3 linked regions of the Alligator mississippiensis genome follow. The protein of the gene in region 1 interacts with the protein of each later gene in a biochemical or structural test. Links are inferred from orthologs where the notes say so. Each region holds a gene or a part of one and is shown in the gene's direction. Other genes may lie near its edges. The genes, in order: PARD3, JAM2 and JAM3.

Evidence for each region.
Region 2: the proteins of PARD3 (region 1) and JAM2 form a complex in vitro, tested with the Homo sapiens proteins (2 studies listed by BioGRID and IntAct, with this or other methods). The link is inferred for Alligator mississippiensis from reciprocal best matches to the Homo sapiens genes PARD3 and JAM2.
Region 3: the proteins of PARD3 (region 1) and JAM3 form a complex in vitro, tested with the Homo sapiens proteins (2 studies listed by BioGRID and IntAct, with this or other methods). The link is inferred for Alligator mississippiensis from reciprocal best matches to the Homo sapiens genes PARD3 and JAM3.

The regions. Positions count from the first base shown.
Region 1 is NC_081828.1:194,860,473-194,864,217, reverse strand, and holds the start of PARD3 (partitioning defective 3 homolog), read left to right. Parts: upstream 1-801; 5' UTR 802-1,002; coding exon 1,003-1,122; intron 1,123-3,745. UniProt on the Homo sapiens protein: Adapter protein involved in asymmetrical cell division and cell polarization processes. Seems to play a central role in the formation of epithelial tight junctions. Targets the phosphatase PTEN to cell junctions.
Region 2 is NC_081824.1:286,856,697-286,860,441, forward strand, and holds the start of JAM2 (junctional adhesion molecule B), read left to right. Parts: upstream 1-916; 5' UTR 917-1,064; coding exon 1,065-1,119; intron 1,120-3,745. UniProt on the Homo sapiens protein: Junctional adhesion protein that mediates heterotypic cell-cell interactions with its cognate receptor JAM3 to regulate different cellular processes. Plays a role in homing and mobilization of hematopoietic stem and progenitor cells within the bone marrow.
Region 3 is NC_081839.1:27,935,209-27,938,953, forward strand, and holds the start of JAM3 (junctional adhesion molecule C), read left to right. Parts: upstream 1-1,505; 5' UTR 1,506-1,563; coding exon 1,564-1,603; intron 1,604-3,745. UniProt on the Homo sapiens protein: Junctional adhesion protein that mediates heterotypic cell-cell interactions with its cognate receptor JAM2 to regulate different cellular processes. Plays a role in homing and mobilization of hematopoietic stem and progenitor cells within the bone marrow.

The DNA.
Region 1 (3,745 bases):
GTCAGTGCTGAGGGAGCCACTTGACTTCACAGCTCATTATAATGTACTGTGGGCATGGGTGACTGCTACCCTCCAGCGATCAGTCAGCGACCAGCAAGAGTCCCCCTGTGGCCAGTCTTGCCAACCAGGGCATAGCAGGGTCCCCCAGTTGTACCAACTGGGAAGCGGCCGTGGTGCTCCTGGAGGTGGCTGCAGCACTTCACGCGGCGCTCCCACTCCCTGGCCAGGGCTCCTACCTGCCCCTCGCCTAAGCGGGGAGCGCGGCCTGTCAGGGGGCGCACAGCACTCTCAGGGGTGCACGTGCACCCTCATGCACCCGCTACGCGTCCCCACTGGCTGCAGGGGTGGCCAACCTATGGCTCTTCAGACATGAACACGTGTCTCCTTGAATCTTTGCACGAGCACACAGGGGCCAGCTCCTTCCAAGCACAGCCGCCAAGCTGGTGCAGACTCAAGGAGAGGCATATTCACTTCTGAAGAGCGCAGGTCGGCCACCCTTGATCCAGTGGGTCGCTGCTCGGAGCTTCCCCGGGCAGCCGGGCTCTGCCCTGCCCTGCCCTGCCCTGCCCTGCCAGGCTGCGCCGGGGAACAAGCGCCCGTGTCGCAGCCGGGCGGGGGGCTGCCCCCTCGCTGCCGTGGATCCGGATTTGGCTTTGCCGCAGCCTTCAAGGGAAGGGTCCCGCCTGCTCCTCCTCCCCTCGGAGCGGGGGAAAGGAGCCGCCGCCGCCTCCCGCGCAGTCCCCGCCCCGGGCGCGTGTCATAGGTGCAGCCGCAGCCGGCCCTTCCCCGCGGCAGGGGCGGGAGCCGCAATGCCCAGCGCGGCCATCGCGGGGAGACAGCGCCGCCCCGGCCCCGTCCCGCCGCTGCTGCTGCCGCCGCTGCTGCCGGCCCCCGCCGGAGCGAGCGCCCGAGCCGCGCGCGGCCGCGGAACAGGTGGCCGGAGGCGGCGGCCGAGCATGTGAGCGGGGCCTGGGCGCGCCCGGGGTCGCGGCGCCGGGCAGGATGAAAGTGACCGTGTGCTTCGGGCGCACGCGGGTGGTGGTGCCCTGCGGCGACGGCAACATGAAGGTGCTGGACCTGGTGCAGCAGGCGGTGACCCGCTACCGCAAGGCGATCGCCAAGGTGCGCGGGGCCGGGGCCGGGGGAGCGGGAGCGGGAGCGGCGTCGGGAGCAACATGGCGCTTCCCGGGAAGCGGGAGCGGAGCCCGGCCGGGGCCGCGCTTTGTCCGGGGCCGCCGCCGCGGGCGCGCCCGGGGGGAGCCGGGCCGAGCCGAGCCGAGCCGAGCGCTGGCCGGAGTGGCGGTCCCGCCGCGGGCGGCGCCAGGAGCCAGGCCCTGGCCCCGGGGCAGCGGCTCTCTGCAGCTGCAGAGAAAAAAGGAAAGAAAGTAACTCGCGGAGAACAAAAGGGCCGTGCCGGGCCGGGCCGGCCGGGGGGGTCCTGTCAGCCAAGGCTTCCCCCGGAAAAAAAAAAGTTTCCAGCGCAGGGAGGAGCCTGTGTCCGGCCGGCGCCGTCCGCTGCCCCGAGCCCGGCCCCGGCCACGCGCGGCCGCAGGGTAGGGCAGGGCAGGGGCAGGGGCAGGGGCGGCCCGCACCCCCACCGCCACCCCCGTCGTGCGCCGGGCCCCGCTCGGCCCCGCCCGGCCCGGTCGGGTTGCCGCCGCTGGCAGCGGCCCCGGGCGGGAGGCGGGCTCGGCGGGGCTCGGGTGCTGCCCGTGGGAAGGTCTCCTCCGCACCCCCGCTGCCCCCGGCTGCTTCCCGCCCCGGCCGGGCGGAGACGGCTGTGCCCTCAAAAGCTTGCCTGCCTTTCTCCAGTCGGAGCCCCCCGCGGCTGGTTATTTAATGAAATGTTGTCCAGTGTCTCTTCCAAGTACTCGGCTCAGATGTTTGGGCATGAATTACTCTCTTTGGTTTTTTCCAACCTCTCTGAAATCCGCCCCCCCCCCCCCCCCAAAACACACACATACTTGATGGCAGGGTTTCGCTTTACAGATGTTTACATCAGGAGTTTCTCCAACTGCGCCAAGCTGGAGTTGAAAGTACACGGGGATTAGGCCGGTGGGTTGGACAGGATGTGCCCACAGCCCTCCCCGCTCCCCCCCAAGACGTGGTCAGGATGGGGGACGAAGGCAATTAAGTTTCTACCTTTTGATGAATTTTCCTCAAGAAGATGGTTTTGGAGGGAAAAATCATGACTACTTAGTGTATCTTTTAAAATCTTTCTGGTGTGTAACACACAGTTACAGCACTGACTAGCGAAAAAGTACAATGATTAACTAAAGTATGGCAGCTGCTATATACCAGCTGCTATCATTTATATACCATCCTTGTTGTGCGTGGCATTTCACATGCAAATAAAAGACTGCTTCCCAAGCTTTCTTATAGTTAAGAGCCCCAATCTGGTAAACCCCGACTCCTGGACTGAATGCTATTAATTTAACGGGTGCCATATGTTCTCCGAAATGGTCCCCAAGTTTTTTAGTATTAATGTTGCATTAATAACGTTGCTTGTATTAAACATCTTGGGTTTCCAACCTGTAGCCTGTAACTATCTTTCTTCTCACATCGGGCTGAATCTCATTCTTGTTTCCAGCTGCTAAAATTCATTAAAATATGGCAACAAATGCACTGAAATATAATTTCAGGAATGTAACCGTTACAATAGTTAACACAGGGAGGTTATGTGAAGGAAGATATTCTGATTTCTGTATGATTGCAAATGAGGACAAGTTATCTTTGACCAAAACTGTCTACCGTATGGGGAAAAAAACTTAAGAACCTCTGAAATGTGATATATTGACAGATGCACCGCCAAGGCTATTTGTGTGGTTATAGTCTTGGTGGCTTCCAGCCCCTGAAGCCCTTGATCCTGGTTTTGAAAGACCTTCTGTTTCATTTATTTATGTATTGTCCGGGATTAAGCTGTACTTCAGTCATGTGGGCTTGAGGTGACCCTACTTGCAATGAGATGGTTTCTGTTATTTGGAAATACTGTCTGGTTAAAACACCAAAATGGACACCACATGCCCCTTGCTTTTATGCTGTTAATGTAAAACAGAGTTTTGATGTTGTTAGTTGAAGATCTTGCATTGAAGTGCTTGGGTAATGTAGGGATTCACACAAGTGTCTCAGTAAGTAAACACGAAGAACTCCCCAAATGTAATGAACACCAGGACTGTTGTTCAGGAAACAGATTAATATGGAAATAGTTGGTGTGGTAATGTCAGATCTTTATGGTAGGACTCCACCCTTAGGGTGGAAATTAGAGGGTCCACTTGTACTGGAACGCTGCAGTTGTATGAAGCTTAATTTTTTTTTTCTTTTTTAACCTTTTATTTTAATCAAATATGTAATTGAGGAGGAAAATATGTAGGAGGGGGTGTTTTCAAATTGACTTCATTTGAAGTTGCTTAACCTTTGGAAAGCACACACCTCTTGCAGGACATCAGAAATCTAGTGGACATTTTTTGAAAATATTTTAATTGGCCTTACCACTTGAAAACACTGGTCCCAGTCCTGCAAAACTTGTGCACCCACTGCTCTATACTGGGAGCAGTCCCTTCAAGGGGATTGCTTAGAGCATGTGTGCCTAAAGCAAGGGTGGATAATTATTTTGGCTGGAGGGCCGTTTAACGAGTTTTGGTGAGCTGTGGAGCCCCACCCTGTAACCTATGACCTGTCCTTCCCCTTGGCTCCTGGAAGTACTCCTTTTGGGAAGCGAGTTTGCCATCTTGGAACTGGGAAAAAA
Region 2 (3,745 bases), on another chromosome or scaffold:
GGAGTACTGTGTCCAGTTTTGGGCTCCACAATTAAAAAATGATGTGGAGAAGCTTGAGAGGGTGCAGAGGAGAGCCATGCGCATGATCAGAGGTCAGGAAAACAGACCTTACGATGAAAGGCTGAGAGCTATGGGACTCTTCAGCCTGGAAAAGCGCAGGCTTGGAGGTGATCTGGTGGCCCCTAAGTTTATCAGGGGTGCTAACTAGGATCTGGGGGAACGTTTGTTCACCAGAGCGCCCTGAGTCATGATGAGGTTGAAGGGTCACAAACTCCTCCACGACCATTTCAGGCTGGACATAAGGAAGAACTTCTTTACTGTCTGAGCCTCCAAGGCCTCGAACAGCCTGCCACCGGAGGTGGTTCAAACACCTACATTGAACGCCTTCAAGAGACATTTGGATGCTTATCTTGCTGGGATCCTATGACCCTAGCTGACTTCCTGCCCTTGGGGCAGGGGGCTGGACTCGATGATCTTCCGAGGTCCCTTCCAGCCCTAATGTCTAGGAATCTATGTATCTATACGCTAGTGGCGGTTCATTTTGATCATGGAAAAATGTAGCGTTTGGCTTACCTTTTTTAACCCCAAATTACGGATTTTTATTTATTTATTTTTTTGTTATCAGAGGCTCCTCGTTCACATGACACCGGCAGGGTATTCCTACTGCCTGAAGAAGGGTGCTAACGCCTCGAAGCTGACAGAAGAACTTTCCCCCCCAAGTCAGTCGGTCTGATACAAGCGCTCCCATCTCCGCGGGGACCCTCGCCCGGCGGGGCTGATTGGGACGAGGGAGAGGGGCTCTGCTCCCAGCTAGTGGCGCCCACCCCACCCCACCCCACCCTGGGGCTGGCCCAAGGCCACGGGAGGCGCGGAGCAGCGCCGCCCCGAGGAGCAGGGGCCGCTCCTTTGTCTCGTCCCCCGCCCCCGGCGCCGCGCCGGACGCTGCCCGCGGCTGCCTTTCCCGGGGCTGCGGCGGGGGTCCCGCCGCGCAGGAGCCCGAGCTCGGAGCAGCCTCCGCCTCATTAGCAGCGTCCCGCGGCCGCAGAGCGGCTGCAGCCGGGAAGATGGCGAGTCGCCCCTGCCTCCTGCTCCTGCTCGGCGCCTTGGGGGCTCTTAGCTGTAAGTGGCGGTGCTTCCCTCCCTCCCGGGGGCCTTGCTGGGACCCCTCCAGCCGTGCACGGGCCGGGAGAGCCGGGGGGTCCCGCTCTTCGCCTCCCTCCTCCGCTCGGGCAGGGAGCGCGGGACGGCCGGCGCGGCGGCGGGGTCCCTGCCGCCTCCTCCCGCCTCGCAGCCGCAGGGTCCTGGAGAGGGAGGGGTAACAAATGCTGCTTGCTTGCTTGTGCTCACGCTCTCGTTTTCGTTTTCACGTTTCATGGCACTTCTGCCTCCAGGCAGCAGCTGCTCCAGAGCCCTAGGGGAAAAGGAGGGTGGGAAGGGACCTGTGCAGGTCATTTAGTGCAGCCCCTTGCTCCAAGCAGGACCAGCCCCAATTAAGTCATTCCAGACAAAGCTTTGTCATAGCAGGCCTCCAAGGATGGAGAGTCTGCCACCTCTCTGGGCATGGGGGACTGGTGCCGCCTTAGTCAGGGGGGCATATGATATTCCCCCTCCCCCAAATGTTGCCTGGGCCTCCCCTGGCTGGTTGCACGACTCCCCTGCAAGTCCCCACTCCCCAGCCGGCACTTGCAGGGAGGCACTGGCGCTCCCACCTGCACCCCTGCCCATTGCTTGAGTGGGGAGTGTAGCCTGACAGGGGGTGCACATGCACCCTCTACGCATCACCACAGTCTCTGGGGAGCCGGTTCCCGTGTTTCACTACATCCCTAGGGAGAAAGTTTTTCCTAATATCCAACCTCAACTCCCCTTGCTGCAGCTTGAGACCATTACTCCTTGTTTTATAGATGCTGGGGCTGGGAAGGGACCTTACAAGATCATCAGGTTCAGTCCCCCAGCACTTAGGCAGGAAAGACTGCTGGGGTCAGATGACCCTAGCAAGGCAAGTGGCAAGATGCTTTTTGAAGATTGTGGGGGTGGGTGACTGTGCCACCTCTGTCATCTGCTACCACTGAAAAGTCTCTCTTTTCCAGTGCTTTACTGCCCTGCTCCTGAGGGCATTTTTCTCTAACTTAAACTCCCTCTTCAAAATCATTCGATTCCTAGAACATGAGGGTTAGAACGGACATCAGCAGGTTATCTAGTGCAGTCGTTCTCAACCTTTTTTGTATCGGGACCCATGTGTAAACATCGATGGACAGTTCTGACCCAATCCTGCTCGCTCCTGAGCCACTGCCCCTGTTCCAGGCCCCGGCCCTGCAGTGTGTGGGGCAGGGGGTGAGTGTAAGCGAGGCATGGAGAGCCCCAAGCAGCCCCTTAGAGGCTAGGACTGCCAGCCTGCAAGAGGAAAGCCATGGTTTCCCACATTTTTTCTCCTTTAAAGGAGAATCCATTTTTTAAGTTGGTTGATCCATTTTTAAAGTTTGTTCATGACTCTTTCATATATTCTTGCAACCTGCTTTTGGGTTGCAACCCATGGGTTGAGAAACACTGATGTAGTCCAACCCTCTGTTCAAAGCAGGACCATCCTTAACTAGATCATCCCAGCCGAGGCTTTGTTTAGCCAGGCCTTAAAAATCTCTCTGGTTCTCTTGCCATTGGGGGGGGGGGGGGGGTCTCACCCTAACAGGGCTCACATTGCTTTTGAAAGGATCTCAAGGCACCCCTGGGTGCTGTAGTAACCTGGAGGAACATACTGGTGCCACTGGAAGACATCCAGCAGAGCAATTAGAAACTCAAGCAGCTTTTTTCCCATGAAACCAACCTGCTTAGTTGTCCCCTAGGTTCTTGTTGCTGCTGCCATCCCGGTGGCAGCTGAGTGGCGCTTGGCGTAATCAGCAGTATAATGCAAATGTTGCCTTTCTTAATACCGAGCTGATTTCTGCATTCCTTTAATCCCCATAGCTGCTTATAGCCCTATGTAGCTTTAGTACAGCTTCAGGTCAGACCCCAGAGTCTGAAACTATTCTTCTCCTTGACTCCAGCAGCCGAAGCCAAAATATGTACCCAACATAGAAAGAACAAACGATAGCTTCAGCACAACTGCGGGGAGCATATAGTGAAGCTATTGTTTGCTCTTTCTTTGTTCAATACATATTTTGGCTTTTAGATGCCGGCAGTCAAGGAGAACAATAGCTTGGGTCTCTTGGGACCTGATCTGATGCTCAACTACAGTTGTTGGAGCTCCACACTGTTAAGCAGGCTTGTGGTTAACCATGATAGTGCTTTTACCCAGTAATGCAGCTTTTCAGAATATTATTTTCTCCTAGAAATTAACAGGTGGGAGCCAAATATTTTTGCATTTCTGTGAAGTGGTTTGAATGCATTATGCCAATGGAAAAACAAAACTGGATCTTGCAAGTTCAGAAACGCAACACAGGTGTTTTTGTTACTTTTGAATCATTTTCTCAGCTCACTAAAAAAGAACAAGAAAGGGCATAATAAAATGAATCTGAAAAAGCTTGCCTGACCTAGAGGGCAGGCTGAACGTAAGTGTGAGATACCAGAAGATATGAAAACACAGCTGTAGATAAACGGTAGATTAAAATGCAGCAAAATATGTCAGGCATCTGATAAGACAATATCATATGTAGAACTTATTTTACTGCATGCCTAAGATATCATATCAGGCATCCTGGTGCCTCCTTAAATGTTCTCACTTTAGCAAGGAGATTTAATATCTGTTTCTTAT
Region 3 (3,745 bases), on another chromosome or scaffold:
TAGGTGACAATGAGCTTTGAAGTCATAGAAATCAGAGAAAATGAGGGTTTCAAGGGACCTTGGGAGGTCACATCTAGTCCCACCCCATGCTCAAAGCAGGACCAACCACAACTATATGTCATCCCAGCCAAAGCTTTGTCTAGCCGGGTTTTGAAACCTCCAAGGATGGAGATGCCAACGCCTCTCGAGGTAACCTGTTCCAGTGCTTCACCACCCTCCCAGTGAGAAAGTTTTTCCTAATATCCAACCTCAACTTCCCTTGCTGCAACTTCAGCCCATTGCTCCTTGTTTTGTCATCTTTCACCTCTGAGAACAGTCCAGCTCCATCCTCTTTGTAAACCCCCCACAGGGAGTTAAAGGTTTCTATTAAACCCTTCTCAGTCTTCTCTTCTGCAGACTAAATCAGACCAGTTCCCTCAGCCTCTCCCCATAAGTCATGTGCCCCAGCCCCCGAACCATTTTCATTGCCCTCCACTGGACTCTCTCCAATTTGTCCCCATCCTTTCTGTAGCGGGGGCCCAAAACTGGACACAGGACTCCAGATGTGGCCTCACCAGTGCTGAATAGAGGGGAACAATCACTTCTCTTGACCTGCTGGCAACGCTCTTACCAGTGGGCCCTGGGACCTCCTGGTCAACCTCCTCCTGGCCCTGGCCAAGCTGGCTATATCTTACTAGGAATGCAGCTCTGACCAGAAGGGTCCCCGGGGACTGCAGGGCTGTATTCCTGGGTCTCCTTCGTTCCCATCTCTGAGCGGAGCACCACTGGACAGTAGCTGCCAGCTCCCTGGCTGCCTTTGAGAGTCAGTGGGCACTCCCTGGGATGCTCTGCTCAGCGCCTCCTGAGGGTACACTACTTTTGAACCTCTAGCCCACGTGCACAACCCTTTTAAAATATTTTGTCCCCCAAAATCAGTTTCATAGATTTCATAGACATTAGGGCTGCAAGGGACCTCAGAAGATCATTGAGTCCAGCCCCCAGGGGCAGGAAGTCAGCTGGGGTCAAAGGATCCCAGCAAGATAAACGTCTCTTAAAGGAGTCCAGAGTAGTTGGCACTCTTGTTTTGCTTTTGCCGCCCCATGGAGTGGCAGATCCGAGTGACATAGCAGGCATGTGCCCATGTACCCAAGGGCATCAAACACACCAGCCCAGGATGCTGTTATTATCCTTCTTGGCAGCAAGGGCACACTGCTGGCTCCTATCCAGCATCTTGCCCACTGTCCCCCCGCACCCCACACGTCCTCTTCTGCAGAGCTGCTGCCCAGCCAGCCCGCCCCGGCGCATGAGATTGTTTTGTCCTCGGTGCAGGACGCTGCACTTGTCCTTGCTGACATTTCTGTCTCCGTGTGGGGGTCCCTGGTTCCCAGCCCTGCCTGCCCCGCGCTGCAGCAGCACCAGCCACGCGGGGAGCATCCGAACCCCTGCGCCCCGGCGTTGCTCGGAGACGGTCGCCGCGGCAACGCGGCGCCTGCATCCCTGTCTCCCGGGCGCCGCCCTCAGCATCCCCCGCTGCCTCCTCCCCGGCCGGGCAGTGCGCAGGCTCCGCGCTCCGCACAGCCCGTCATGGCGCTGCCGCCGCCGCTGCTGCTGCTGCCGCTGCTGGGTGAGTGCGGGCTGGGGCCGGGGCTGGTCCGGCCGCAGCGCTGGAGCCGGCCCCGGGGGCCGGGCGGGCACCCTGCACGGAGCAGGAGGGCAGGGGAGCGCCGGTGGCTGCCCCGGGCGTGGGAAGGGATGGGGGGCACTGGGGTTCCCGCAGTTATACAACATCCAGCTGGAGAAAGGGAGACCGGCCCTGCCATCTCCTCGCTGGCTCGGCAGGGATCCCCGCCCCATCTCCTCCTCCGCTTCTGGATGCAGGAGAGGTCCAAGCAAGTAAACATTTGATTTTGCAAACGGTCGCGGGCATTTCCGAAACGTCCCGCGAAGCTGCTCTCTGAGTTTGTCGCAGGTTCGCCGGTGTTTCGTGTCCGCGCAAACCACCTGTTTTGGGGACTGAAGTCTTCGCTGAAAGAAACGTGTCCGGTCCAGGGGGAAATCACTTGGTCTGAGGGCTCTGGCAGGGTCTGGAGCTGTGATGATTTACATGCGTGTTGCCAGCGGCTCCGTCCAGCCGAACGGTGGTCATCACAGAGCAGACAGTGACATTTGTAGTTAAATCTTGGCAGGACTGAAGCTTTTATGTCCCAGAGCTGGGTGTCAGCTGGTTCTAGGGACTAAGGCCATATCTGATACCAGCTGAGGGTTAAAAGCACGAGAGAAGAGGGGCTGTGGCTGGAAAACTCTACCAATAAAACTTGGCAACAGGCTGAGGCTCCTAGCTGCAGAACTGTGAATGCTTACGACCTTATTCACATTACACTGTAGGGTCCTTGGGGCCATGACTGCCTCCCCACAGCACCACGAGGCCCTGGTCTCGATTGTGGCTTCCAAGTGCTGCCAAAATACAACAGACCAGGCCCAGAGCCTATAATAAACCGCACAGTTCAGGGCACGGAGCCCAAGAGCTGTCTGTGAGAGGCGAATGCACCAGGGCAACTCCGTGAAACAAAGGTACCGGCACAAATTGTCAGTCAAACCCTGATTTATGTTGTCGCAACACAACTCCGGTGATATTGCTGCATTGGTGGACAGGCCCTTAAATTTCGAGGACTTCATTGTTTCAGCCTGTTAGGGGCAGGGTTGGTCTCTGGACTTTGAATAAGCCCCAGAAATTCGAGGGGTGCATGGGCCCATCTGCTGCGATGCTTTGTTGTGTTCCCAGTCGCTGACTCAACTGATTTTGACTGGCTTAATTCTAATACACTTGATTCCACCGAAGCATTTCTTAATCTAGGCAGTAAGTCTCCTGACTTTTTTTTAATATAAAATCCACCTGTCCCAGAAGAAACAACTGCTGGGAGTCAGCTGCTGGTGCCAGAAATGGCTTCTTGATAGGAATGTTTTTAGCTTTAGCTTGGTTATGAATGAGGGGTGGGGGTGAGTGGCTGGTAAGTATTTTCTGATGACAGTCAACTGCAGTGTTGCTTTATTTTCAACACAATACAAAGGAGGAAAAGTTGCTCTCTTATCTGGGCTACAAGTGGATGCTTGATGCTGTGCTCAGAAAAAATTCCTTGGGAGGACTTGGTGCTTCCTAATGGGAGAGGAGCACTTGGTGTCGCTTCTGAAGTGTAACCGAAGGGGCTGCAAGTTTTGTGCACATCCACTCTACAGCTGTTGACAGAAAATGCCATGCGGGCAAATTCCCTCTTTCTCCGTGTGCTTCTGGCCGTGGTTTTGTTGCCTAAGCACAAGTGGGTGGAAGGAGGGGGAAAATGTATTTTTGTGTGAGGACACCAAGTTGCCGAGCATGGCTGACCTGGTTATGAACTTGGCTTCTCTTTGCTGGCCTGTTTCTCTTGCAAAGGCTGAATTTTGTGTCTCTTGGAAGGAACGTGGCTTTTTTTTTCGGCAAGCCCATGGTGTGCTTGGGAGCTGAACTGTGCGTAGGAGCTGCATTGCCAGCGGTCACCTAAGCACATCCATGGAGCAGAATGTTCTTTTGCACCGAGCTCCGCCAAGGACAGCGGCTGCTTTACGGATCATACTCGGTAGCCAGGGTCCCTGTATCACCTGCCAATTTGCCCCGTTTTCTTTGTTAACTCCAAAAGTCAAATGTTGGTGAGCCCTGCCAGCTCTTGCTTTTCCTGAAGCTTATTTGGATCAAGAGGGGAAGTTTTTGTTGTTGTTGTTAAGTTTTGCTCTT